Linked DNA regions of Sus scrofa. The protein of the gene in region 7 interacts with the protein of the main gene of each other region in a pairwise test. Links are inferred from orthologs where the notes say so. Each region holds a gene or a part of one and is shown on either strand. Other genes may lie near its edges.

What was found.
Region 1: the proteins of CCDC136 (region 7) and KAT5 interact in binary tests that used the Homo sapiens proteins (3 or more experiments, as listed by UniProt). The two-hybrid records come from large-scale screens. The link is inferred for Sus scrofa from reciprocal best matches to the Homo sapiens genes CCDC136 and KAT5.
Region 2: the proteins of CCDC136 (region 7) and CDK2AP1 interact in binary tests that used the Homo sapiens proteins (3 or more experiments, as listed by UniProt). The two-hybrid records come from large-scale screens. The link is inferred for Sus scrofa from reciprocal best matches to the Homo sapiens genes CCDC136 and CDK2AP1.
Region 3: the proteins of CCDC136 (region 7) and MOS interact in binary tests that used the Homo sapiens proteins (3 or more experiments, as listed by UniProt). The two-hybrid records come from large-scale screens. The link is inferred for Sus scrofa from reciprocal best matches to the Homo sapiens genes CCDC136 and MOS.
Region 4: the proteins of CCDC136 (region 7) and USP2 interact in binary tests that used the Homo sapiens proteins (3 or more experiments, as listed by UniProt). The two-hybrid records come from large-scale screens. The link is inferred for Sus scrofa from reciprocal best matches to the Homo sapiens genes CCDC136 and USP2.
Region 5: the proteins of CCDC136 (region 7) and NEBL interact in a two-hybrid assay, tested with the Homo sapiens proteins (2 studies listed by BioGRID and IntAct). The two-hybrid records come from large-scale screens. The link is inferred for Sus scrofa from reciprocal best matches to the Homo sapiens genes CCDC136 and NEBL.
Region 6: the proteins of CCDC136 (region 7) and SMARCE1 interact in binary tests that used the Homo sapiens proteins (3 or more experiments, as listed by UniProt). The two-hybrid records come from large-scale screens. The link is inferred for Sus scrofa from reciprocal best matches to the Homo sapiens genes CCDC136 and SMARCE1.

Annotation. Positions count from the first base shown.
Region 1 is NC_010444.4:6,569,420-6,573,590, forward strand, and holds the start of KAT5 (histone acetyltransferase KAT5), read right to left. Parts: upstream 2,801-4,171; 5' UTR 2,786-2,800; coding exon 2,608-2,785; intron 2,283-2,607; coding exon 2,214-2,282; intron 2,128-2,213; coding exon 1,991-2,127; intron 1,719-1,990; coding exon 1,563-1,718; intron 1,473-1,562; coding exon 1,398-1,472; intron 1,295-1,397; coding exon 1,220-1,294; intron 749-1,219; coding exon 500-748; intron 419-499; coding exon 329-418; intron 1-328. UniProt on the Homo sapiens protein: Catalytic subunit of the NuA4 histone acetyltransferase complex, a multiprotein complex involved in transcriptional activation of select genes principally by acetylation of nucleosomal histones H2A and H4.
Region 2 is NC_010456.5:29,637,584-29,641,083, reverse strand, and holds part of CDK2AP1 (cyclin-dependent kinase 2-associated protein 1), read right to left. Parts: intron 3,228-3,500; coding exon 3,101-3,227; intron 1-3,100. UniProt on the Homo sapiens protein: Inhibitor of cyclin-dependent kinase CDK2. Also acts as a component of the histone deacetylase NuRD complex which participates in the remodeling of chromatin.
Region 3 is NC_010446.5:75,737,930-75,741,576, forward strand, and holds MOS (proto-oncogene serine/threonine-protein kinase mos), read left to right. Parts: upstream 1-1,472; 5' UTR 1,473-1,645; coding exon 1,646-2,683; 3' UTR 2,684-3,147; downstream 3,148-3,647.
Region 4 is NC_010451.4:46,587,555-46,591,713, forward strand, and holds the start of USP2 (ubiquitin carboxyl-terminal hydrolase 2), read right to left. Parts: upstream 2,801-4,159; 5' UTR 2,671-2,800; exon of another isoform or gene 2,667-2,670; intron 660-2,666; exon of another isoform or gene 540-659; intron 1-539. UniProt on the Homo sapiens protein: Hydrolase that deubiquitinates polyubiquitinated target proteins such as MDM2, MDM4 and CCND1. Isoform 1 and isoform 4 possess both ubiquitin-specific peptidase and isopeptidase activities.
Region 5 is NC_010452.4:53,838,826-53,842,970, forward strand, and holds the start of NEBL (nebulette), read left to right. Parts: upstream 1-1,345; 5' UTR 1,346-1,971; coding exon 1,972-2,052; intron 2,053-2,141; coding exon 2,142-2,213; intron 2,214-4,145. UniProt on the Homo sapiens protein: Binds to actin and plays an important role in the assembly of the Z-disk. May functionally link sarcomeric actin to the desmin intermediate filaments in the heart muscle sarcomeres.
Region 6 is NC_010454.4:21,801,410-21,804,539, reverse strand, and holds part of SMARCE1 (SWI/SNF-related matrix-associated actin-dependent regulator of chromatin subfamily E member 1), read right to left. Parts: intron 2,947-3,130; coding exon 2,774-2,946; intron 2,251-2,773; coding exon 2,149-2,250; intron 1,028-2,148; coding exon 817-1,027; intron 1-816. UniProt on the Homo sapiens protein: Involved in transcriptional activation and repression of select genes by chromatin remodeling (alteration of DNA-nucleosome topology).
Region 7 is NC_010460.4:19,806,738-19,810,237, reverse strand, and holds part of CCDC136 (coiled-coil domain-containing protein 136), read left to right. Parts: coding exon 1-54; intron 55-303; coding exon 304-444; intron 445-779; coding exon 780-938; intron 939-1,203; coding exon 1,204-1,374; intron 1,375-2,041; coding exon 2,042-2,227; intron 2,228-3,500. UniProt on the Homo sapiens protein: May play a role in acrosome formation in spermatogenesis and in fertilization.

The DNA.
Region 1 (4,171 bases), on a different chromosome or scaffold from region 7:
CTTCAGAACCCATGGTTTCGGATTCCTGTACCCCCCTTACCCAGGCTCAAAGGTCCCCTCCTCTGGATCCTGATAACTCACACTTTGTCTCACGACATGTATCACGCTAGGATCTAAGAAGCCCCTAGCATGTCTGCCTTCTCCTGTGAGCCCTCAGCAGAGATCCTGTCTAATTGCTGGTCACTCTGTATCTCCCACACCTGCCCTAAGTGAATAAATGGGGTGAATAGATCTGTTAGCCAAAATGGTCAGTGCTTTCCTGAGCTGGAAAAGGCCACTCACTTGACTCCCTGCACCAAAGACTCCCCACGGCCCCTGAGCCACTGACCTTGTTCTTACGACCATCGATCTCAAAGAAGGAGATGGTGCCCTTTCGGTAAATCTCGTTGCCTGGAGGATGTCGCAGGTCACACTTGGTCTGAGAAGGAGAGGAGAATCAGGGGCAGGGCCAGGGCAGGGCAGGGGTGCTAGGAAGGCGGCCTCCTGGGACCCTTCCTACCAAGTGACGCTGCAGACACTTGAGGCTTCGGCCGTACTTGAGGCAGAACTCGCAGAGGTAGAGGACGGGCAGGGTGGTGAGCTCCTGCGGGTACGGGGAGAAGTACCACGGCTTGAGGCGGTGCCGGCCCAGCTCGATGCACTCAATGTTCTTCATCCGGGTGACGATGTCGTCGTGGCTGCGGTCAGACACCAGGCTCCCAGTCATGCGAGGAGCCGAGGGTATTCCGTCTGAGCTGTCCTGGGAGTCCTGCCCGGGGCCACGGAAAGACGCCAGGTTACAGGAGACAACTCAAGCAGGACACTCTCTGGCTCACAGCCCTCCCACGGGTTTCCTAGTGGGGAAGATACCATAACCCCTACTTTCCAGTTAAAGAAACCAAGACTTGGACAATTTTCATTGGAAACTGGAAAAGATGACCCAATGCTTGATCTGAACCAGTTCTGCCTCACTCCTAATCCCAACACCACCTCAACCCAGCACACTCTGTTCATCTTCCAACGAGTCACTGAACTCTCTGCCCTGCCTACGTCCACTCCTTTTTTTTTTTTTTTTTCCTAGCTACAACATGCAGTGGCTTGATGTGGGAATCTCAGTTTTCAAACCAGGAATTGAACCCAGGGGCACAGCAGTGAGCGCACACTGATTTCCAATTGCTACCCACCTAGGGAACCCCCTGTCCCCTACTTTTCACCCCGCTTCCCTCTTCCCCAGACCCACCTCGTCAGTGCCCAAGCAATTTGATTTTCGCTTCCGCCCTGGCTGAGCTGCCACTGCCCTACGGGCTGATCCATTCTGAAGGTGAGATGAAAGAAAAAGGAGTAGCTGTGAGATGCACCTGAAAGGGGCTACCAGAAGGTAGAAGGGGAGGGAAAAAGAGATGGTTTGGGGGACTCACCTGGGGAAAAACTGAGGCCGGGGCTGTCTCGCTGGGCACCGGAGTTGCTGGTGAAACCACCTCCACCTTCCGTTTCTGCAGAAGAGAAACCAAGAAAGGTGGGTCAGAAGGTAGGGAAGGTGGGACCTGAGAGGAAAGCAAGGTCCCTGGAATTGCTGAGGGTACCGTTGAGCGGTGGTTGGGCTGCAGGCAGGAGCTGGAGGAGAGCGGCTGGTCGGGCTCGCCACCGGGAATGGCCTCCCGCTCCTTGGGCAGGTTGAAGCGGAGTGTGATCTGGACCGGGATTGGCAAGGTCTTCCCGCTGGCCTGGGCGGAGGCCGGCTGTAGAGATAGGTCCAGGGTCTTCCTCTGGGGTGGGGATGGTGGTGGGATGGGGAAGGGGAGTAGGGGCCCCTCAGTGTGTAATGATCAAACCCCGCCCCTCTCAAGGACGCTGGACTCTGGAAGCTACATCTGCAATTTGGCCCCCATCCTTTGCGAGCTGAAGCCAGGGTGGGAGGGCACAGCCTCCTGCCCAGCTGGGAGCCACTGAGGCCAAGAGATGAGAGAAGTAGGAGGCAGGAGAGAAAAGTTGAAGCAGGGGACCTACTCACCACCTCTCTCTCTGGAGAGCCGGGGCGGGACCCAGGAAGTCCGTTCTTGGTGGGGGTCTTGGCCTCTTTCTTGGGGAACTGGATCTTCTTTAGGTCCAGCCGCTCATGAGTCACCCATTCATCCAGGCGTTTGTTGACTGCAGCAGTGGGGATGGCTCAGGAAGGAGTGCCAGAGGCTGCCCCCCGCAACCCTAGCCCCACCTCATCCCGGCCCAGAACTCACAGTCAATATAATGGACGTAAAAAAGCTTCCGGCCACTGATGTCCTTCACGCTCAGGATCTCGGCCAGGGCTGTGGGCACAGCACAGGGAACGGCCTTAGAGCGGCCAGGCCATGAGGCTCCGCCCTTCTACAACCTGAACTCCACCTCCAGGCCCGATCCCTGAGCCTCAGCACTTGGAAGCTCTCGCCCAAGCCCCCATTAGTCACCAAGTGTCATTCCCTTCTCCAAGCCCCGCCCTGTCCATCTCCAGCGGCTAAAAGCCACGCCCCTCGTGAATATCTGCGCCCCGCCCGCCCCAAGATTCTAGAGGCCCCTCCCCCTCCCTGGGGTTCGCTTGACTCCCCCCGCCCCTCGCCCTCAGGTTCCTTAGCCCCGCCCCCCGACGTCACTCACGCCACTCATCTTCGTTGTCCTGGTTCCGCCGCAGCACGGGCAGGCGGCAGCCCTCGATTATCTCCCCCTGGGGAGACAGCGCGGCGCCAGGGTCGGCTACTGGGGGGCCTCGGGCTCTACCCACCTCCCCTGGCTCCCTCCGCCCCGCCCCGGGCACCGGACTCACCACCTCCGCCATCTTCCCTCCCTCCACTGCCACTTCCGGCCCCTCTGGGAGACGTCACTTCCGGGACCGAGCACTTTGTAGGCCCAGGTCTCTCCAAACCGGCTTCAGGAGAGGACCCTGGAGAGACCCCGCAACCCAGCTTGCTCATGGAGCCGGCCCGTTTGGCTGGCGGGGGAATAGGGTACTGTAAGTCTCAAACCAGGTCTTCGGTGGAATCCCCACAACGTGCACAACGATTGGAGGAAAACTGAGTCCGTCACGTGACGCTCACCGGGTGCGACGCCGGTCACGTGGGACTGGTGTTTGCTTCGCCGGCGGCCGGGTTTGGGCGTCTCCTAGTGGCCGCAGGATGCGTCTCGGGGAGTGAACTGCGCGTGCCCGGCTGGGGGTTGGGGCGGGTCTTGAGGGTTTGAGGGGCTGGAGAAGTGGGTGGGACTTGAGGGACTTAAAACCCTCGCCAAGTTTGTGGCCCTAACTCCTTGGGGTTGGGAACTCACGGAAGGTTTGTAGGTTTGTTGTTTTGTATAGTAGGTTGCTAATTACAGGAGTAATACATCATTCATGCATACATTCAACAAATGTGTAGTAAATCACCTGCCACGTACCAGGCACTGTTCTAGGAGCCTGGAATACCTCAGTAAATAAAGAATTCCTTTTTTTTTTTTTTTTTTTTTTTTTTTGTCATTTTGCCATTTCCAGGGCCGCTTCTACGGCATATGGAGGTTCCCAGGCTAGGGGTCGATTCAGAGCTGTAGCCGCCGGCCTACACCAGAGCCACAGCAATTTGGGATCCGAGCCGCGTCTGCGACCTACACCACAGCTCAAGGCAACACTGGGTCCTTAAACCACTGAGCCAGGCCACGGATCGACCCTGCAACCTCATGGTTCCTGGTCAGATTCGTTAACCGCTGAGCCATGATGGGGACTCCCAAGGATTCCCTCCTTTTGTAGCTTACCTTCTTGGAGGTTGGGAGGGAAAAGAGGGGCATAGGTAACACCTGGTTAATAGCGTTAAAAAATAAATTATCTAGTCTATTAAATAATGATAAGTGTTTTGAGAAAGCCCCCTCAAAGAAGAAAAAAAGCACCAGGTGAAGGAAAGGGCCAGATAGGCAAAATGGCCAAATCCAACCCTCTGCTAGCTTTCCTACAGCAAATGTACTAAGAATGGGTTGGTTTGTTTGTTTGTTTGCTTTTTAAGGCCGCTCCCAGGTTTCTGAGGTTTCTCAAATTTGTATCTTCAGCCCAGATCTCCCTCGACTTTCTCTGCCTACTCGACACCCCCATTTGGATGTACCAGGGGCATGTCCTGAACTGAACTCCAGATCTGCCTTTCTGGTTTCTCCTCCCACCTTCTTTCTTCTCCCTCACTGATGAGCTGGTCCATTCAGTTTCTCA
Region 2 (3,500 bases), on a different chromosome or scaffold from region 7:
TCACCTGGGAGCCACCATATGCCTCAGGTGTGGCCCTAAAAAGACAAAAAAAAAAAAAAAATCTGGTGTTGTCACTGCTGCGGCTCGGGTTGCTGCTGTGGTTTGGTGCAGATTTGACTGCTGGCCCAGGAAATTTCCGCATGCCATGGACATGGCCAAAACAAACAAACAAAAGACTTTAAATAATAAATAAATAAAAGGCTCTAACAAATCCCACCCCACCCCTCAAAGCCAAAACTCCTCTTTTAAAAATCTCATTCTGTGCTCAAGGTGACAACCAGGAAGCTCTTTTCATTACTCCCTATTCAAACTATGTTACCATCCAGATGACAAGAGTAAGTGTGTCTCCACCCCAGTTCTTTAAGCCAAACCCTCTGGAGATTCCATGCCCTCAAATCATTATTTTTTCTAAAGTCTAGAAAGGACCTGGCAGTGTCACAGCCTGCCTGGTTCAGGTACAAGAGAACTACTCACTTGGTCCACTGCTTCGTCCTTCCCCAGGGGACCTGCAGCATCTATTCCACTATTATTCGCCCATCATCTTTTATCTCTATGGTTTGGGAGTTATCTATTGTTTGCTTGGGTTTCTTTGGGAGGGGGAGGGCAGGCTTTACTCAACTTCATGAAACATTGATCTCATTTTAATAGGCACAAGAGAATCTATTCCTTTTTTTTTTTTCCAGACTAAAAAAAAAAAAAATCCCTTTATTTTAGTCATTTTGAGCAGCTACAACAGAGTACCATAGTCTGGGTGGCTTAAACAACAAACATTTATTTCTCACAGTTCTGTAGGCTGGGAAATCCAAGATCAGAGAACCTATTCCTTCTAAGAGCTGACCCCCAGAGGGCAATGGAAGTGAGTGACTCCTCAAATCACTCAGGTGTCCCCACCTTACAAATCTTATCCCCCAGAGCTTCTGAGCTTTGAGACCTTCTGTAAAGGGCTATACAAACAGACTCCCAGACAGAGGACAGACTTGTGGTTGCTAAGGGGGAAGGCAGAGGGAGGGAGTGGGATGGAGGGGGAATTGGGGGTTAGTAGATGCAAACTATTCCATTTAGAATGGATAAGCAAGGAGGTCCTGCTGTACAGCACAGGGAACTATATCCAGCCTCTTGGGATAGACCATGAAGGAAAATAATATAAGAAAAGGAATGCATATATATGTATGACTGGGTCACTTTGCTGTATAGCAGAAATTGGCACAACACTGTAAATCAACTATATTTTAATTTAAAGGGGGGGCTGTATAGCCACTGTCACAGCTACTCCACTCTACCGTGACAACAGCAGCAGACATTATGTAAGCAATGGGTGTGGCTACGTTCCAACAATACTTAGAGACACTAAAGTCTGAATATCACATCATTTTTACATGTCACAACATCTTTCTTTTCTTCACCATTAAAAACCACAAAAAACAGTCTTGGCTCCTCTTGGTGCCTGACTCCCTCTTGCCCTATGACCCTTTTTACTTGCTATGACATAAACTTGGCAAGCCTGCTCAGCTTCTGGTCAGGGTGACTGTGGGACCAGCTGCTTCCCCAGGATGTGCCCTAGCTGCCCTGGCGCAATCACTAGGTGTATCCAGGCATGGACTTGAACTGCTGGCTTTGTTGGGTGGCTGCAGATCACCTGTCAGACAGTCTCTGGGGTCCAGCATCTTCCCAGGCATCTCCAATCTGGTAACCAACACCCCAGTTACCAGGACTGGGTGGCATGATGCCCACCTGACCCCCAGGGTTGGATTGGAGGTAAGCTCCCTCCCTCCTCCACGCACTCTTCGTTCCAGCCTCTAACTACCAGTCCCCCTCCCCACACCTGTGCTCTTATTACCCAACCCAGTTCCAAAACAGGTTAGTCTCTTCACAAAGGAGTCATGAACTGGGTAAAGGCCACTGCTTTGGGTAGGGGCCTGACCTCAATCAGCCTTGCCCATCACTGAAGTCACGGCTGCAACTGCAGCACCCCGTACACCCCAGATTTATAACTAAGAAATGTTTCCCTTTCCTATTTCTCCAAAGTTACTTCTCTGACCTTCAGAAAAACAAACAAAAAAACCCGAATCCCTCCTGAAATTAAATTCACACATAAGCCACCACATTCTGAACCACCACCTTCTAAAATAGAAATCCTTTTCTCCCCTCCACTCCCAACCAACCTATTTCACTGCCTGCTGAAGTCAGCTGGCCAGTCACATCTTCACGTGCAATACCTTCTTCCTGTGGTACCATCCTCCAGTGCCCTCCCTCTCTAATCAAGAAATAACTTCAGGAGTTCCTGTCGCTGCTCAGTGGTTAATGAATCCGACTAGGAACCATGGGGTTTCAGGTTCGATCCCTGGCCTCACTCAGTGGGTTAAGGATCTGGCGTTGCCATGAGCTGTGGTGTAGGTCGCAGACGCGGCTCGGATCCTGCGTTGCTGCGGCTCTGGCGTAGGCTGGCGGCTACAGCTCTGATTAGACCCCTAGCTTGGGAATCTCCATATGCCGAGGGAGCGGCCCTAGAAATGGCAAAAAAAACAACAAAAAGAAAAAGAAAAGAAATAACTTCAAAGCCTACTTGCTTTCCCTCCCCAGACTAGCACAGACCACAGCCTCCTGGGGCACTGCTCCAAAAGAGGACAGCAGAGGACCCTGCAGCCCCCAGTCACTGGCCTTGCCCAGAGGAGAAGCCTGTTGTACTGGGTGGCTTGGGGTTCCCTGGGGCCAGCTATGGCCAAAGGGAGCAGAGCAGGCCTGGGGCAGAGCTGTACCATCTGGGTCTAGACTCCCTTCTAAGACAGATGGACCCACCCTTACCCCAGGGAAGCATGCAGGGCGAGGGCTTCCCTTCTTAGACACCCCATCTGACAACTGGCCACCAAGACCCTTCCTGTCAGATCCTCAGGACAGTCTACACTCCACAGACCCAGTCATGCTGCCTGATGCCTCCACATCCAAGGGTAATTCTGTAACAGGGCAGGAACCCCTGTGTCCTGTGCTGCGGGGTACTCTCCTGTCCATCATCCTCCATTTTCAAGAGAGAAAATCTTTCAAGACAGTTACTAGGCCAGAAGCAAAGTGTCACCTGACAGTGGAGTCCAGGCCCATGACCTACCTCGTTTTAGTCTCTCCATTGCGCTCTTGCTGCCTGCATAGGTGGGTCTGATCTCTTTCCCCAGCTCTTCGATGATGGCCAGCAGCTCAGCGTATTTGCTCTGGGGCACCTGGCTGTTACCGGTTCCCTAGAATCAGAAAGAAAGGGTTCAGGGAGTTCCCATTGTGTCTCAGTGGGATACAAACCCAACTAGAATTCATGAGGATGCATGTTCAATTCCTGGCCTCGCTCAGTGGGTTAAGGACCTGGCATTGCCATGGCTGTGGCGTAGGCCAGCAGCTGCAGCTCTGATTCAACCTCTAGCCCAGGAACTTCCATATACCACAGGTGCAGCCCTAAAAGAGGAAAAAAAAAAAAAAAAAAAAAAGTAGTTCAGATAGATTGAGCCCAACCTGACCCC
Region 3 (3,647 bases), on a different chromosome or scaffold from region 7:
AGCAAGGGCAGGGACCGAACCCGCAACCTCATGGTTCCTAGTCGGATTCGTTAACCACTGCGCCACGACGGGAACTCCTATCCTAATTTCTTAAGTAAAAAGATCAAGGCTCAATATTATCCACTAAGGCAGATGGGTGATAAAGAATAGAAATCTTATCCTAGGGCTCAAGAGACTTCCAATGGCTCAAATGGATTGTGTTTATTAACATACCTTCTCAGAACCAATACACTTCAGAAGCATAGACCTATCACCAGAAAAATGTGGTCACACATCACCTACATGCCCTAAGTGCAGTAAGTCATGATAGAACTTTCATCATTTGATGTTTCAAAATGTAGACACTACCATTCTCCAGTGTTGTTTTTCTTCATTTTTCTTTCTTTTTTTCTTGACTGCACTGGTGGCATGTGGAAGTTCCCAGGCCAGGGATCAAACCTGTGCCATAGCAGTGATCCAGCCACTGCAGTGACAGCACCAGATCCTTAACCTGCTGACCCACCTGGGAACACCTTTCCCGTGTTTTTTAATGAACAGAGTAATATTATCGGTCTTTTTCCAAAAGTATGGAATAAAAATTAGTTTTTTATTATAAAAATTAGAATGGAAGAACTAACGGTTGGACAGCAAGACCCTGGATTTAATTTCAACATCTGGTTTTCAACATTATAGGAAGGCAATAGTGGTTCTGTGCCATTTTTATTTCTTCAGATTTTTCCTCTCCTAGGATACTCTCATATTTGTTATTATTTGAAGCTCTGGTCATGGCTCTGAATCATTTTTGCTCTTTTTCCTCCCCTAACTCTGCTTCAAAACTTCTGTAACTCATTTGCTGTGAAGTCTAGAATCTCTTCTGCAAGGGAGCTTCCTGGGTGGGCCGGACTGCCATGGACCGGAAGGATTGCTAGGGAGTCTTTACATTGCTAAGAAGTCTTGCTAATTCGCTATATAAGCTGAGTGGACTGTCAGAGAATTTTCCTTTTCCCTGATGAATTTAAGAGGTTTGTATTTTGACCTGACTCAGTGATTCTGTTTGGGTCGATTACTTTGTTACTGTTTTTTTCTCCATATATGAACGTTGCACCTAATTTTCCCTGTAATCGGTTAAAAAAGCTCAGCTGTTGATGTTTCAACTCTTTCTGCCAATAACTGCTGGCAGTGATTTAATGCAGCTGGAGAATAAACTGACAATCATTATAGCCTGCAAAGTGTGGAATATTTTCATTGCACTGTTGTGGTGGACTGATAATGCTCGGCGGATGAGAATTGGGGGGGAAGCCTGTGTTACGATAAGAGAAGCAGCAGTGTAAAAGTGGGTGAGTTCTGGGGCAGCTTAGGGCCGCTTATCCAGTCAACGCTTCTCCGGGGCTTGTTTTCATAGGAGTTCACTTTAAGTGCTAAAGGGAAATGCTTTCATCTGAGCGGGATTTTTGTGCTTCGTTCAGATTGTTTCCCCATCTGATAACAACCCTCGCTGAGTAACAGCACAGATGTGGCTCATCTGCGGAAGATGGAGGCAGAGGAGAAAAGCGCTGGGCCGGGGCGCGGAGCGGCAGGTGGTCAGTGATGCTTGCACGCCCGCCCGCTGGGTCTTCTCTTCCCTCCTATCCCACCCAAGCCGCGGCGGGCTGCCCTCCGCAGGGCGATGCCCTCACCTTTCCCTCGGCGCCGGTGCCTGCCTGGCGACTTCTCCCCGTCGGTGGACTCGCGGCCCTGCAGCAGCCCCTGCGAGCTCCCGGGGCCGACAGGGAAGCTCTTCCTGGGGGGCACCCCACCCCGGGCCCTGCGCCTTCCTCGCCGGCTGGCCTGGTGCTCAATAGACTGGGAACAGGTGTGCCTGCTGCAGCGGCTGGGAGCCGGGGGCTTCGGCTCGGTATACAAGGCCACCTACCACGGCGTGCCTGTGGCCATCAAACAGGTGAGCAGATGCACCAAGAACCGGCTGGCATCCCAGCGCAGTTTCTGGGCCGAGCTCAACATCGCTCGGCTCCGCCACGCCAATATCGTGCGCGTGGTGGCCGCCAGCACGCGCACACCCGCGGCCTTTGACAGCCTGGGCAGCATCATCATGGAGTTCGGCGGCAACGTCACCTTACACCAGGTCATCTACGGCGCTACGGGCTGTCCAGAGGAGGATGGGCCTCCCTGCAGTGCTGGGGAGCAACTGAACTTGGAGAAGTGTCTCAAGTATTCCCTGGATGTGGTCAGTGGCCTGCTTTTCCTGCACTCCCAAGGCATTGTGCACTTGGACCTGAAGCCAGCGAACATTCTGATCAGTGAGCAGGACGTCTGCAAAATCAGCGACTTTGGTTGCTCCGAGAGGCTGGAAGATCTGCGCTTCCGGCCTCGGCACCACCTGGGCGGCACGTACACCCACCGAGCCCCCGAGCTCCTCAAAGGCGAGCCCGTCACCCCAAAAGCGGACATCTACTCCTTTGCCATCACCCTCTGGCAGATGACCACTAGGCAGGTGCCTTACTCAGGGGAGCGTCAGCACGTGCTCTACGCGGTGGTGGCCTACAATCTCCGTCCGTCCCTCTCGGCGGCGGTCTTCACCGAGTCCGTCCCTGGGAAGAAACTGGAGGACATCATCCAGTGCGGCTGGACGGCCCCTGCGCAGCAGCGGCCCAGCGCACAACTCCTCCTGCTGGACCTTCGCGCTCTACAAGCTGAACTGGGCTGACCCGAAACGTGTGGCCGGATAAGCATTTGTCTTTGTTGCTGTTCATTTTTAACAAGAGAAGATGTAGGCAAAAAAAAAAAAACAAAAACAAAAACAAAAAACATAGAGGTAGGATGGATTTTTAGAAAATAAAGTTACCAAAAACTCCTTTCACCCCAAATGCTTTTCCTAAGACAAACAGCAGAACTAGAAATCTAGTGGTGTCTCTCCTTCTCCCTTTACAGAGCTCTGTGTTTGCTTCAGAGCTACTGTGCTTCCTTGCAGTTCCATAGTACTGCACTTAACTCAAATTTGTTATTGGTCTGTTAACAGTTTACTTGCTCCCGTACAAATAAGCTAAAAAACAAAGATTAATTTTTCCCTCCTGCTCTTCCCCCAAAACTACTTGTTTCTAATGATCTTCACACATACAGTTCGCAAGTTGAGGTAAGCTTGTTTTTAAAAGGAATGATACTTTAAATGATTTCTTGTGATTGTGATATTTTAAAAACTTCTGCGTGCCATGAGTAGAAATTTTGCTAAAACTTCTAAACTGGGGCCCTTTTCCTGTTGTTTGGACTCAAAAGTAGACGACAAAACAAAGATGATGTGATGGGAGAAAATACGATAGCCCTGCAGCAGAGCAGAATTTAACATTTAGCTGGAGGAGAACAGAGAAGTGGAAGCAGATCGCCCAGTCTAGACATGGAGGGCATGGCTACGCATAGATTTTTGACAAATGAGGTGACTGGATCTTGTCATGAGGACAAAACTGACTTCTATTTAGCAACAGAGTTTCAGCAAGGGCTTGATGTAGAAGCTGTGCTTGGACTGTTAAGAAGGGAGAAGCAGAAAACTTTGAAGGGGGTTAAGATGCGCAGAAACGTTTTGAGATTTGTTGGTTTGGTTTAGCTTACTTTTAGGATAAAGGAAGTGAGTTTATCTGTGACAGAATAAAGAGGGGACAAAGAGAACTGATGAAGTT
Region 4 (4,159 bases), on a different chromosome or scaffold from region 7:
TGACCCACCAGTTGCAGATGCCTTGGAAGGGGGTCATCCAAGGGGATTGGGGCCCCTCTCAGTCTCTCTCAATCCCAGTAGTTGCCCAAGGGATCGGAGGGGGCAAAGAGGTTAGATAAAGAGACCAGAGATTAGAGCCAGAATCCTGCCTGGAGAAGAGCTGGGTGGGCTGAGGGTGGCGTCTCTAGAGGGCGCTTCTTGATTTGGGGTTGGGAGGGGGTGGGCATTGCTACACTTCCAAGAAAAGGCAAAGATATAGGCCCCCAGGCAATACTGGAGTCCTCAGGTCTTCTTTTCCAACCACCTCCCTCTGGGTGCCCCCACCCCACAGGAGAGCCCCAGGCTCCCTCTCTCCTCTAGGGCTTCCTCTCCTCTTCCTGGTCTCTGAGCCTTTGGTCTTGCTCATAGCACCTACCAGGCCAGGTGGGGCAGCCTCTCACATGCTCCCCCAAACAGACAGGGCTCCCCCAAACAGACAGTCCAGGGCCCTCTGGACAACAGCCCTGTGAAGTTTGGATAGCAAAGGGACAGCTACTGACCTGTGTCCAGGGACACGGGATGGGATCTGGGGGCTTCTCCTTCCCCAGCAGGGCAGGGAGTGCAGTGGCGAGCCCAGAGGCAGGAGTCTGACTTGGGGCCGGGTAATCCGGAGCTCAGGTTACTGACTCCGATATATATAGTATCTTATCTGACCTCACGGAGATGGCTAGCTCCACTCACTGGCATTCCAAGCCTGGGCAGAATTAAAGGGGCAGTGGCAGGCCCTCCCTTGAGGTGGGCCCGTGCCAGGCAAGATCCTACAAGACTGTTTGAAGGGAGGGATTTTGAAATGGGACAGAAGGGGGATTCAAGGGGAAATAGAACTGGAAAGATGGTAGAGGGATGGGGGTGGAATGGAGGCAAAAATATGGAGAAGGAGGTGCCAGTCACAAAACTGGAGGAGAGGAAGAAGCCTCAGTGCTTGTCTGCCTGCTTTACTCTTGAGATGGAAGAGCCCTAGAGGCAGACAGCAGCGTGCTCAAGGGCACACGGATACAAAGGCAGGTGAGACCTCCTCAGGTTCCCAGGCCATTCTCATTTATAATGGACTTCTAAGCCTGGGCTTGTATTCTTTCTTTCCCTTTTATTGGCTCTAAGTCGGTGGGCAAGTCCCTTAAGCCCTCTGAACCTTATTTAGTCTGTAAAATGGGAATAATAATAATAATAATGTTATACCTCACAGGTGTGAGGATTAAATAATATTTGTAAATTTCCTGGCACCTAGTAAGAGCTCAATAAATGGTAATTATTACTATATTGAATACTTCCACTTATAATTAGAGGTAGTTTTTGTAGTAGCACCCTCGGGGGAACCTGGCTAGGGAGAAAAGGGCCTCCAGGCTACCCCGCGGGAGTGCTGTTCTAATGCCATGGTTTTCTGAGCAGGTCTGTGTCCCATAAGTGGCAAGGCAAACGAGGCTTGCCCCATTCCCAGATGTCCAGTCCACCCACCGGCAAAAGGCCGGGCCCTCTTGGGCTCCTTCCTCCTTTGCCTAGAAAAATACAGCAAGTGCAGCTTCCCCGGGGCTCCCGGGAGCAAGCCCAGCTGCTCTGGGGCAGTTCCACTCTACCTGTAGGAGTGCTCAGGATCCCGGAGCCCAAGGAGTGGGGCTGGCTGGGCAGGGTCACAGGAGGAAGGAGCAGGATTCTTAACCTCTCGGCTCTTGGTGCTCTGGTCTGCTCCCAGTCTGTCTGGCCTGTTTCTCGATGGCTCTCCCTGAGGACTGGGAGTACCCAAGATGGGGCCTCCACCCTGTCTCAGCAGAGGCTACTGACTCAGCTCCGGTCCTGATGATGCACTTCAGAGGACGCCCTTGTCCCCGGCCCTCATTCCAGTCCTCATTCCGACCCCGGCTTGACATTATCTACAGCATCAGAGAAGGGGTGGCTGATCCAACCCCAGCTCAACCAGCTCTCCTTTTCCTTGGGTTCTCATTGGGGGACCTTCTCATGCCTGTGCCTGGGGAGGCGAGCAGCAGCAGGATCTCCAACTCGGCCCCATTCGAAGAGCAGCCAGGTCAGGAGGTAGATGCTCACTCCTTAGAGGACAACTAGAATGGATTGGCCAGGGCTCCCTTTGGCTGTTAAATATAAGTTACTAGCCTTAGAGCACCGCGTGCCTGCTTCTGGTTTGGGATTGGTGAAGATTTCAAAGATGCCTCTTTCTGGTTTGGGATTGGTGGAAAATCTCCCCTTCCACTTAAATGCTACCCTCCCCCCACCCCACCCCCTTTGGCAAACCGACCAGAGACAGCCCCCAGGAGCTTTGACAGAGGGAGTAAATGAGCTGCTCGCACACGTGGGGAAAGGATTGTCAGTGTCCAGGCGTCACTCTCAGCCACATCCCACCCAGGGCTCAGAGACCTGGACCTGCCCAAGCAGCGTTTCCGTAGAACACACTGATTAGCGCACAGATGGCTCTTCCTGGCACCCTGGGCTGTCAGCTGGTGCCCCCCCTCCCCCCTACAACTGGTACCCACAGCTGGAGATCTTCAGCGCAGCTGGAACTCGCCCTACATTTCTAGTGCCCATTCTGCCCAGCCTGTCGTTGGCACCTCACTTTCTGAGCCTCAAACAACACTGCCCTCCGCATCACCCCTCCCCAGTATCCGACAGGTGGCAGGTACCTGCCTCTTCTCCGAGGATGGACGAGTCGAGCCGGGCACAAGCATGGAGCTGCGGGTGAGTCCTGACTGGTACTGGAGCGGCGCAGTGAGCAGCAGCTGACGCAGAGGGCTCCCTGGTCTCCGCTCCAGCCCGCCTCTCCCCCACCTCCGCCGGGGGCCCAGAGAGGACCTCCCCGGGAAATCGGCGCCACCCAGCGGGCAGCTGCCTCATTGCGCCGGGGCCGTCAAAGTCACACCCCGCGTTTCGCGTCACTGAGACGCATCACGGCTATTGGCTTTTTGCTATTGTGGCGTCATTAGACTCCGCCCGGCCAGGGTCTCCCAGGCGACCGATATATACAGAGAGCCACGTGAAGGAAAGGTGAGTTTGGAGGCGGGGTGGAGCACAACGAGAAGGGTCCCAATGCGGCAAGAATGTGGCACGACGGGAGAGGTGTAAGGTACTGGGAAAGAGGAAGCGTCTTGGGGGGAAGGGTCAGAAGTTGAGTCCCAGGGCATATATAGCAGCTTTTAGTATTTAGGGAAGGCTAAATGTTCCTCTCCTTCCCACCCGACCAGGAGCGGACCTGTTTTTTTGCCTCTTCTCTTTTTTCTCTACTCTTTAAGACTCTCCACTCAGTAACAGGAGACCAGTGATTAGTGATGACCCCTTGACTGGGTGAACGGAGGCACTGAGTCAATGGAAGGATTCTCTTTTGTCTTTTCAGAAAAAGCCGAAAGGAAATTTGAATTTTTGCCGCTCCTTTTCTTTGTGTATAACCTTTCTCTACTTACACTGCGGTGGTGAAGAAAACCGCATAGCCATGTAGATTGGTGCCGGGGCAAGTCCAGGTTTTCAATTTCACCTGGACCATCAATCCTTTCGTGCCCTTAGCTGCTTCTCTTGTTCTTATGCAAGGCTGGTATTTCTGCCCATCATCACTCTGAAGTCCCTTCTTGTCTTCTCTTTCCCAGAGAAACTAGAAGCAATCAGGAGGAAAACACTTAAAGTTCTTCCTACAAATATATCCAAATCCAGTGTTCCCTCTGCTCCAAGAGCAGTGAAAGAAGTGTCCCGCTTCTTGTCCAGGACAAATCCCTTCTGGATTTCAACTCTTTAATTGTTCCTTAGTGTTACCTGAAAACTGGGTTCACCTCTTGGTGGGCTTCAAGCCAAAAGACACAACCAAGCCAAAGATTGGAAGAAGGTAAAATTTATTACTTGTAGCAAGTAAGAAGAACACCGGGGCAGGGTGTGTGTGTGTGTGTGTGTGTGTGCGCGCGCGCGCGTGTGCACGGCGGTGTCTTTCCCCAAGCAGTGTATCCTGGAACAGCAAAATTGGGGAAGTTTAAAGCTAAGGGTGCATGCATATTCATGAAGGGCCTTGAGCCAAAGAGAATTCACAATAGAATTGAGGCAAAGGTTGCCAGAATCCAAGCTTTAGTTGACTGAAGTCAATGAGGGTCAGCAAAGGTCAACATCATTCCTTAGTTTCAGACCAGGGTCTCAGCTG
Region 5 (4,145 bases), on a different chromosome or scaffold from region 7:
CTTCCCTGTTTCCAAATAAAGATTAATATAATAGATCTTCTGAAGGGTATTAGAATAGCCTTTTGGCAGTGGACTTGAGGGAAACAAACAGAGTCTCACATTCTGCTCCTTTATGAAACAAATGGAATGCACAGAGAATTTCCTTGTAGAATTCCCTACACTGGCGCGACATGACTGGTGAATTAAAGTTAAGGTTTCTAATTTCAGCACGCTTGGGGCATTTCTTCTTGGCATTTTGCTGTTAAGCAGGATATGTGATGCCATTAAGTTAGCCTGTATTAAAAGTCATTTCATGAAAAGATCAACAGCTCTTATAGAACACAACTTTTTTTTTTCAGAATAGAATAATGTTTCCCTAAGTAATATTTCACAGAAGAATGTTAGTTTTATAGAGTATTGGATGTCTGTTAAAAAAAAAAAAAGTATATGGATAGGTAGGTAGGTAGGTAAATAAATAGGTTAGATTATATTGGATGAATAGGATTTCATGTTTGGGACATGCTGGGTTAAGCAGACGTAAATAGTTTTCTCGGTTGTGGGTCTTCTCAGAGCTTTTGTGTTATTGTGCCATGTAGATTTTGTGTTACTGTTCCCTAAGTGACAGGGCTAGAGATTACTATACAGATTTCCTCAAACACATCTGCTTAAGAAACTCCCTTTTCCACTCCAGAGTATTCTGTGCAACTTTAGCCTCCTGGAACATAATTTGAGAAATTATCTATAAATGATGACTGTGTAGAATTTTTTTCTTTTCAGAATTTGTAGGCAAGGCCAATGCAAATTTAGAACATTTAAAATTAGATATGATATCAAGAGAAAACAGCATCATACCTGTCTACCTAGAATGATGAATTTTTTGATTAAAGTTATAATTTATATCCTTAGTTTCATTATTCACCATAGGATATTTTTTAATGTCCTACACTGATATGTTATGGCTTTAGAAATACTAAATTATCCTTGGATTTAAATAACCAAATTGATAAATTATGAGTTGTATAGTCTTAGAATTATCTCGATTGACATTAAAGGATTTGTTTTGAGAAATACACAGTCAAGGACACATACCACATTATGAATATTGTTATAGTTTATTTTTACAAACTTTTCCAAGCGTGTGTTACACATAGAGAAATATATAAATAACTAGGGAATTTGTAAAAATTGACACAATGGGCAGAACTGGTAATTATTGTTTTTTGAAACGATGTTTATAGAATTCTTAAATGATGTATCAAACTGTTAACTGCAGCTTCTCATGTTTAATGATGTTTACAATTAAAATAATACAATAGCAATATAAGATTAACAGTCATAATTAACTTGGAAGAGATTCTTTGAAGTGGTTCAAAGGGCTTTTTGTAATAAATTACTAGCTTTTAATCAGCTAATGTATTTTTTTTTTAGAATGGAGAAGTACGTATATGTCTCATAAAAATTTAATTTAGGTTAATGAAATGAGTTTGAATGATCCAGACTCTCTGTACCAAATCTGAGCTATGTCTGACATTCCAGTGGAAGCTTTATTTAGCTGGAGTTGAGGAATCTTTGAGATAATAGGCTTTGCACTGTGCTATCTTGAGTGTTACAGCTGAGTGGTTTTCCCAGAATCTTTAAGTCTTTTTCTAACTATTTTATGAATGAATGGAATTAATGAAATATTAATGAATGATCTCCTTTGAATTGTTTAGCGAGTTCAAAGAATATTGACTTTAAAAGTTTGCAAAATTGAATTTTGCCTCTTAAAATGCGATTTCCGTTTGTGAGGCTGGCCCTGGCCACCCTCAGTGATCCTGTTGCCTTCACTCACACGCAGTTGTGATAAGGAGGGTGAAGTAGGAGCTAAATAGGGAGGAGGTCTGGGCAAGGTCATTTCTGCCAGAACACAGAGAAGTCAAGGTCTCAAGAGTGCAGTGGTATATAAAAAGGTCTACGCTGGTGAATTAAAAAATAGATACATGAAGAGGAAAAATGAGGGTCCCTGTATTTGAGGATGTGAAAGATGAAACAGAAGAAGAAAAAACAGGGGAAGAAGAAAATGAAGAAGACAAGGTAAGTGAGAAAGCACTTGCTGAAGAATGATATTTGTTCCCCAAAGCTGATGATGAGAAAAATGTTTCCTTTCCTTTTTTTCTGGACAGGTATTCTTTAAGCCTGTTATTGAAGACCTGAGCATGGAATTGGCCAGAAAATGCACCAAACTCATTAGTGATGTAAGCGGCTTAAGTAATTTTTGTCTGATTTTGCATTGCATGTGTGGCACTATTATGTCATAGTATCAGAGAGCTGAGGAGAAAACCCTGAAATCGTTTACCAAAACCCAGCAATTTTCCAGATCATGGCACCAAGCCCAGACATTTTAGGCGATTTTTCCCAAGGTCACCCGGATAAGGAATTTCTCTGGGGATAGGTCTCTGTATTCTTAAGCCAGAATCGTGTAACTTTGGAATTTCACTGTTACCCTGGCATGAAATCATAAAGCATCGTATTTCAGAGCATATTCCATTGAGAACCCAAAGCCTTTTACAGTTTGTATAATGATATAATTTGTTTTGAGAGGCTCTCTATCTAAATGAATGATTTTTAGCATTTTGGGGAATGTTTGCAGAATTTGATGAGTGTGTAGTTTTTTCCAAACCAGAAAATGCATATGCCTGTGTACATATGCATTTATTTACAATTTAGGATTCAGGAGTTCCTGTTGTGGCGCAGTGGAAATGAATCCGACTAGGAACCATGAGGTTGCGGGTTCGATCCCTGGCCTTGCTCAGTGGGTTAAGGGTCCAGCGTAGCTGTGAGCTGTGGTGTAGGTCACAGACTCAGCTCAGATCTGGTGTTGCTGTGGCTCTGGCGTAGGCCGGTGACTACAGCTCCGATGAGACCCCTAGCCTGGGAACCTCCATATGCCATGGGTGTGGCCCTAAAAAGACAAAAGACAACAAACAAACAATTTAGGATTCATAGATTAAGAACCCTGAATGAGATGTTGATGGTGATGATATTAGTGAAAGGAGCATTTTTGGTGTGGGGATGTTTCTCGTTAACTGGGAGTTATGTTGTATTTCAAGGGAATCCTGGAATTATGTAATTAACTCATATATATCTCCATATTTATCTGTCCATCTGTCGGTCCATAGTCAGTATGTAAACAAAATTCTGGGAGCTCATGGAGATGTGTTCTTCACTAGGAATGAGAATTTAGATGACCCTCATTGGGACAATTGTAAGAGCATCACTGAGTCAGAGGAAAAATGGCCTGTGAAGCCTGAGCAGGGCCCTTCTGTATTTATTTATTTTTTATTTATTTATTTATTTTGGTCTTTTTCTAGGGCCGCACCCACAGCATATGGAGGTTCCCAGGCTAGGGGTCTAATTTGGAACTGTAGCCACGGGCCTATGCCACAGCCACAGCAACGCAGGATCCGAGCTGCATCTGCGAACTACACCACAGCTCACGGCAACGCCGATCCTTATCCCACTCAGCGAGGCCAGGGATGGAACCTGAAACCTTGTGGTTCCTAGTTGGGTTCTTTAACCACTGAGCCACAGCAGGAACTCCGGCCCTTCTGTATTTAGAGAGGAGGGCAGAATGCAGGTGATTTCTGCTGTTCCTACTGAGCAAAGTGATCAGAATGTTTTACACACATTTACTTGCAAGAGAAGTCAATCCTGGGCTCTGCCCGTGTGGTCATGTGCCCGCCTGGTCTCTGAAGTCAGCTCTCTTGAGTCAATTTAACAGCAACCTTGGGCAGGTTGGCTGGGCTCAGTTCCTCAAGGGCAGCATTTATAATAGTAAGATTAAGAAATCGTAACATATCTGAAGTGTTTAGTAAATTGTCTGGAACATTGTGAGTGCTCAAGAAATGCCAGCTGGTACTAACTCTTGCCTCTACAAATTAATTTTTATCCGTCCAGTCGCCTTTTATACATGATGCCGTGTTGCCTTCTGGTTTGTCAGAAAGAGCCAGAGGATGGTGGACATCGGACCCCTTCCCATGTGCTTGACATGTCATGTAATTAAATTTTAAATTGAGTATTTCTTTGTGCCATTACTTAACACTAGGCACAGCTACTGGATGTAGAGGTTCTTTGTAAACTGTAATAAAAATGAAATGATGATGACAGCAGTAAGGATAATAATATCA
Region 6 (3,130 bases), on a different chromosome or scaffold from region 7:
AGATCTGGAAGTCTGAATTCCTCCAGGAGGGAGTCAACAAACACTTACTGCTTACTGCGAAGGCTAGTCAATATATTTTGGGTTTTGTGGGCCAGGCAGTCTCTGCCGAAACTACCCAACTCTACTGCTGTAGCCCCAGAGCAGCCACAGACAATATGTAAACAAATGATTCCAACAAAACTTAATTTACAAAAACAGGTGGCAGGCAGGATTTGGCTGCAGGTTTTATTTGCCCAAGCCTGTTCTAAGACACCAAAGATGACTTAAGAGCAATGACCACATCTTGTTTGAATAACTTCCGCAAAAAGGTTAAAATCTTGAGTGTTTACACCACATCAAATCCAGTTATATGCTTTTATGTACATTTTCTTATTTATCCTTTAGAATTCTCTCAGATACAGGAGCTAGAATGCTCAGAAATGAGGAAACTAAGACTAAATAATTTCCCCAAAGTCACAGTGCTAGCAGTGGTGCAGCAGCAGTAGACCTAGATCTGTCTGTATCCTTAACCGTTTATAGCATCACGCTTCATATTCTCAAGCCAGGGAATGACACGAATCAATCCAGGCAAAGACCTCAAACAGCAACACTAAAGACAACACATCACTGCTGTTTTGAACCAAAACCATCGGTTTAAGTGAATCTACTGTGAGAGGTTAAGATGTGCAAAGAAGTGGGAGGGTCAGATGGAGAAGAACTCAAGAGGCAAGATTAACAGAGCGATGTCCGAGCAGCACCGAGAAAGGGAAAGCGGAATTAAAGACAGCGGGAGAGACCCTGGGTTGACCTTCATGGTGGTGTGACCTGGCAGGTTACCTGTCTCCACTGGCATGCTTTCGTCTTCCTTCTTTTCTTCCGTCTTATTAGCTGCTTGCTCTTCCTCAGGAACGATACTGCTCTGGCTGCGCTCGGCTTGCTCGGCTGCCTCTTTCTCCCTTTCCTCCTGCCTTTTGCGAGCCTGTTCCTCGGCCTGTGCAATTTCAGCTGCAATTTTTTCCATATCCACTTCTACTTTCAAACCACACAACTAATAGAAAACAAAACCCAAGAAGCTCTCTTAGTGATGTTCTTTCCTCATAATCTCTGAACCAGAGACACTGTCTCAAAAGTGAGTTTCCTTGGCTAAGAACTGTACACACGTATAAGGCAGAAAAAAAGAAGCTGGAGGTCTTCTCTGAAGCTCTCAGGTCTGCAGAAAAAGTTGCCCTCGCAGCCATGTGACATCAAGGATCACAGGAGAGGGAGTTCCTGCTGTGGCTCAGTGGAAACAAATCCAACATCCATGAGGACACAGGTTTGTTCCCTGGCCTTGGTCAGTGGGTTAAGGATCCGGCATTGCCAGGCGCTTCAGTGTAGGTGGCAGATGTGGCTTGGATCCCGAGTTGCTGTGGCTGTGGTGTAGGCCAGCAGCTGCAGCTCCGATTCGACCCCTAGCCTGGGAACTTCCATATGCTGTGGGTGCGGCCCTAAAAAGACCAACAAAAAAACCAACCCCCAAAAAGTACTGTTTTATATACAAACCTCCCATTTTATATTTCAGGCTGCCAAACATTACTTTTAATGTCTTAAAACAAAGTACGGAGTTCCCGTCGTGGCTCAGTGGTTAATGAATCCGACTAGGAACATGAGGTTGCAGGTTCAATCCCTGGCCTCGCTCAGCGGGTTAAGGATCCAGTGCTGCCGTGAGCTGTGATGTAGGTCATAGACGCGGCTCGGATCCTGCGTTGCTGTGGCTGTGGTGTAGGCCAGGCAGCAACAGCTCCGATTAGACCCCTAGCCTGGGAACCTCCATATGTTGTGGGTACAGCCCTAGAAAAGACAAAAAAAAAAGTACAAATTGTGAACTACAGCTAATGAAGACCTTTAATGAAAAAATTGCAAAAAAAATGAAAATAATTTATGACTGCCTGAGTGTACATTAAAACATCAGAGGGTTCTAGAGTCCAAGGCCCAGTACATACGTGTACACTACATGATATTTCAAACATATTGTAGTTTTGCCAGAAAATGGGAATTATTTTACCGTGCAAACATCTTACCAGTTATAGCAAAGTTAACACTGTTTCAAAGTGAACAACGTTCCTTAAAAACACTCTTTTCGGAAAAAACACAGTGATAAAAGCATAATTAACATATTAAAACTGATACCCTTTTAAGTTCATTATTAAATGAATCTGTGCTTTCCAGGAATTTCCTCTTCTTTTCCTGATGTCGCTCCTCTATTTGAAGAAGTTCAGCTTCCAGCTTTCGCTGTAAAACATATGACCAGGCTTTGTTACTACCGAGTATCTTCTCGAGAGCAAATATCAAACACAGAAAATCTTCTTTTTTTAAGAGTCCATACTTTCTCATAGTGGGATAGATGTTTTGAATTTTTCATTTAAATTATTTATCACATGTGTCCAGCTAAGGTTTAAAAAGTGTGAAATGCAGTGGAGAGGAACGACTGAGAGGTACATGTTGAGGCATATGGTTTCTGGCCTCAGGGATTTCTATGGAAAAAAATATTTATGACAGCCGTAGAAGTTATTAGGATGTCTCAAAATTCTTAATGCAAATACTTTCTCTGCCAAAAGGCTCTGTCACCGTTTTAATGACAAACTTATTAAATCTCTGGGAAACTTAGCTACTCCCTCAAGCCTCTTCCCCGAATCAGGAACAGGTCAGACTGAACATAAATTTAAGAGGCACACGGACGCATGGTACAGAATCAGGTCGCCTGGCACCTGTGGCCTAGGCACATTTTATTGTACCAAATGGTCTGTGACTTTACCTGATGAACCATTAAGGACTGGACCTGTCGTTTGAGGACCTGCATTCTAGCTGTTGTGACAACAGACCGGACGTCTGGCACCACACTCTCACTGAGGATTTCACTGATGAGGCGGTGGTTTCTCTGGAAACGGGCAGTGGCTGTATGCTTCATTGAAAAGCCATCATCATAATCTGGAAAAAACAAGATGATCTGGAAATCAGGTCACCAGTAACCGTAACTGGGAGCGTGGAACAAGGTTAACTCTTAATTACCAAGGAGCCAGGGCCCTCACTGGTCTAACAAGTGGGCCTACAAGGCATCCAGGGAACACTGGGGCAGCCATTTCATCATCCCACATAGGATACACTGGCTAAG
Region 7 (3,500 bases):
TTGCGACAGCAGCTGCTGGGAGCTGAGGAGCAGATGCATGACATGCAGAGCAAGGTAGGGAGAGGCAGGCGCCCTTCACTGGCTGCTTCTCACCTTCTCCTGGCCTGTGGCAGCAACACCTCCTTTGACACGAGGCTGACGAAGGAGGCACGTGCTGTGGCAGGAGATGGTACTCCACGGGCTGGCTTGCTCGCCTGCTGGAAATATCCCAGTAAAAAGAACGCCATGCTCTGCCCAAGCCCGTTCCTGGAGTGCACGTGCCCATCGTAGTAAGTCAGCCTTCCTGATCCGTTTCCCACACAGTGTAAGAAATTGTGTTGTGAGTTGCAAGAGCTGCAGCATCATCACCGGACCAGCGAGGAGGAGCAAAGGCGGCTGCAGAGGGAGCTCAAGTGCGCACAGAACGAGGTGCTTCGGTTTCAGACTTCCCATGACGTCACCCAGGTAAACACTGACAGGGGAAGGGCATCGGGGAGGGCAGAGGGCCCACATGGAGTCGCCCCCTCAGGGGAGGCCCGACCCAGAGGAAGGCTGCATTCTGCTGACCCTTGCCCTGCAACCAGGGGTACATTCCACCAGAGAGCAGTTGGCAAAGTCACATAGCATGGCATTCTAGAAACGGTGGTCATTATCCAGCGTCTGTCCCAGAGAAGACACTAAACCATGGGCCCGTGGGAGCTCCTCAAGATGTCTGCCTCTGGAAACGAGCCACTCTGGTCTGGAGAGGGGTCTGCTGATTCATGAGCGTAACCGTTCTGTCCACACCCTCCCCACCGCAGAACGAGGAGCTGCGGACCAGACTCTGTGCCCTACAGCAAAAGTATGATGCTAGCCAGGATGAGCAGAATGAGCTCTTGAAGGTGCAGCTACAACTTCAGGCTGAGCTCCGGCAGCTCAAAATCACGAAATCCCAAGTCGTAGAAAGCCAGAGTGAGAAGGTAACACCCACCAGAGGTGAGGGGCCGCTTAGGTGCCAAGAGGCTCGGGGGGAAGGGGATAAGAGCAGAGCACTGAGATCGCGCCAGCGACCCCCTGTGCGGTGCCACAGGTGAGGAAGTCCAGGAGTCCTCCGCCAGCTGAGAGGACCCCCCCAAGTGCAGGGCAGGGGGAAGCGGGTTCTCAGACTGTCCGAGTCTGAGAGCGACTCAAGCAGAAGAGCGGCTGCGGATCCCAGAGGTACTGCCCCGGGCCCCTCCACCGCAGGAGTTACTGTGCCGGCTCCAGAAGCTGCAGCTGCAGTACCAGAACATCACGTGTGAAAAGGACAAGCTGCTGGACGTGCAGCAGCAGCTGCGGGACAACCTGCAGTGCCACGAGGCGGAGGTGCAGCACCTCAAGGGCGTCGTGGCCTCCTTCCAAGACAGCAGAGAGAAGGTAAAGGAAGCTGCAGGTGACAGAGAAGGTAGCGGCAGGCTCTCCCGTGAGTGGACCCAGGAGGAGAGGGATGGTAGGAGTTCTGTGGAGGAGCTCTTGGCGGCAAGGAGAGAAGAAGGTGCTTAGTGGAAAAGTGATCTCCGAGGGTCATGATGGGCCCAGCTTCCTTTAATTTTGAATCAGAAAATCAGCCTGTAGGGGTTCCTGTTGTGGCATAGTGGAAACCAACCCAACTAGTATCCATGAGGATGTGGGTTCAATCCCTGGCCTCGCTCAATGGATTAAGGATCTGGCGTTGCCGTGAGCCGTGGTGTGGATCACGGACGCGGCTCAGAGACCGTGTGGCTGTGGCTGTGGTGTAGGCGGGCAGCTGCAGCTCTGATTAGATCCCTAGTCTGGGAACTTCCGTATGCCACAACTACAGCCCTAAAAAGCAAAAAGCAAAAGAAAAGGAACCTGTCAAAAGGAAGCCCCTTTCCTTCGCCACCAAAAGAGGGCGTCCCAGGGTAGAGCCTGTTAGGGACTGGCCCATCGCAGGTCGTTCCCGTTGGGATGAAACCAGGACTGGAGAGGACAGGGTAGGCTCCCCTGAGTCCCTGCCTGACAGGAGGGGGTGCAGCCACAGGGGCTGCTGGGGTGACGGCAGGGTCTGCCTCCCCCGCCCCAGTACACGGAGATGCGCGCCCAGCTGCAGGAGGTGAAGCGGCTCCACCAGACCAGCCGGGATGCGCTGGAGCAGCAGAAGCACATGTACGATCAGCTTGAGCAGGACTTCCTGCTCTGCCAGGAGGAGCTGCAACAGCTCAAGACCACCCAGGCCATCCAAGAGGACAAGGGGCAATGTGCGAATAAGGTAATTGTTATTAAGAGAGGTGAGAGCTCCCGAGCCCTGGAAAGAGGAGGTATGGGGACAAAAGATGAAGTCATCCAACCGAGGGGCTTGATGGACTTCCTGTCCAGTCGCAGCTCACTGTGGAAAGGCAGGAAGCAGAGGCAGCGCCCCATGCAGTTAACTTTAAAACTTTGCCTTGGAGTTCCCGTCGTGGTGCAGCGGAAGCGAATGCGACTAGTAACCATGATCCCTCGCCTCACTTGGTGGGTTAAGGATCTGGCATTGTCATGAGCTGTGGTGTAGGTCGCAGATGCAGCTCAGATCTGGTGTGGCTGTGGCTGTGGCATGGACCGGCAGCTGTAGCTCCGATTAGACCCTTAGCCTGGGAACCTCCATATGCTGTGGGTGCACCCCTAAAAAAAAAAAGCATCAACTTTACCTTGACTTTGAGTCCAAGCCACAGTACCTCTGGATCTAGTCTGAAGATTTTATACATGATTCCATGTGTGTAGACATGTATACCTTGTTATTAGAACTGTAGTGCTACCTTGTCATTCGTGGAGAGGAACACACACATCGGCCCATGTGCATAACTCTTTTTGTCAGAGCTAGAAAGAGAAGGTGCCGTTTTCTGAGATGCTCTTGTCGAAAGGCATGGTCTGTGCCCAGAGTGCTGACTGGGTATGAGAAGGCCCTGGGCTCTTCCAGGATTTATTCTGTGCCTTCAGAGTAGTTAAATTCCAAGCGTGAATTAAGCTTTGAATTTATCTTTAAATGGAACAGAATGCTACTCTTATCTCACTTTCTTTTAGGAGAAAATCCTGGTAATGATAAGGCCTACCTTCTTCATTTTCCCCTTTTTTTTTCTATAGTGTGCCAAATGCACATCCTTAGCAGTCAGGCTTGTTGAGCACTTTCAGCTCCCGGTCACCGCTAGGAAATGGAAAGATGTTGACACATGATGGAGAAAAGGGGCAAGATTCTCAAAAGATGGTGGAGCCAGTCGCCTCCTGCCACGGCCGACAGCGGGCTGTGTCCCCAGGGAAAGGCTTTCGGAGGACACAGCGGGGGAGGTGATTTCCAGCTGCCTGTCTATACCCAGGCTCACTTTCCTCCTCCCCCCACTCCCACTTCACTGAGAGGTCTGGGGGTCCGCAGCGTGCTCATCGCCCCCTCTCCTAGCGGAAGAGACCACGAAAGGGAGAAGCTGCTGGCCTACAGAACCGGCCTCTCCTTTAGTCCTAAAACAGCAGCGAGATTAGTTGGATGTTAAAAGATTTCGGAAGATTTGGGT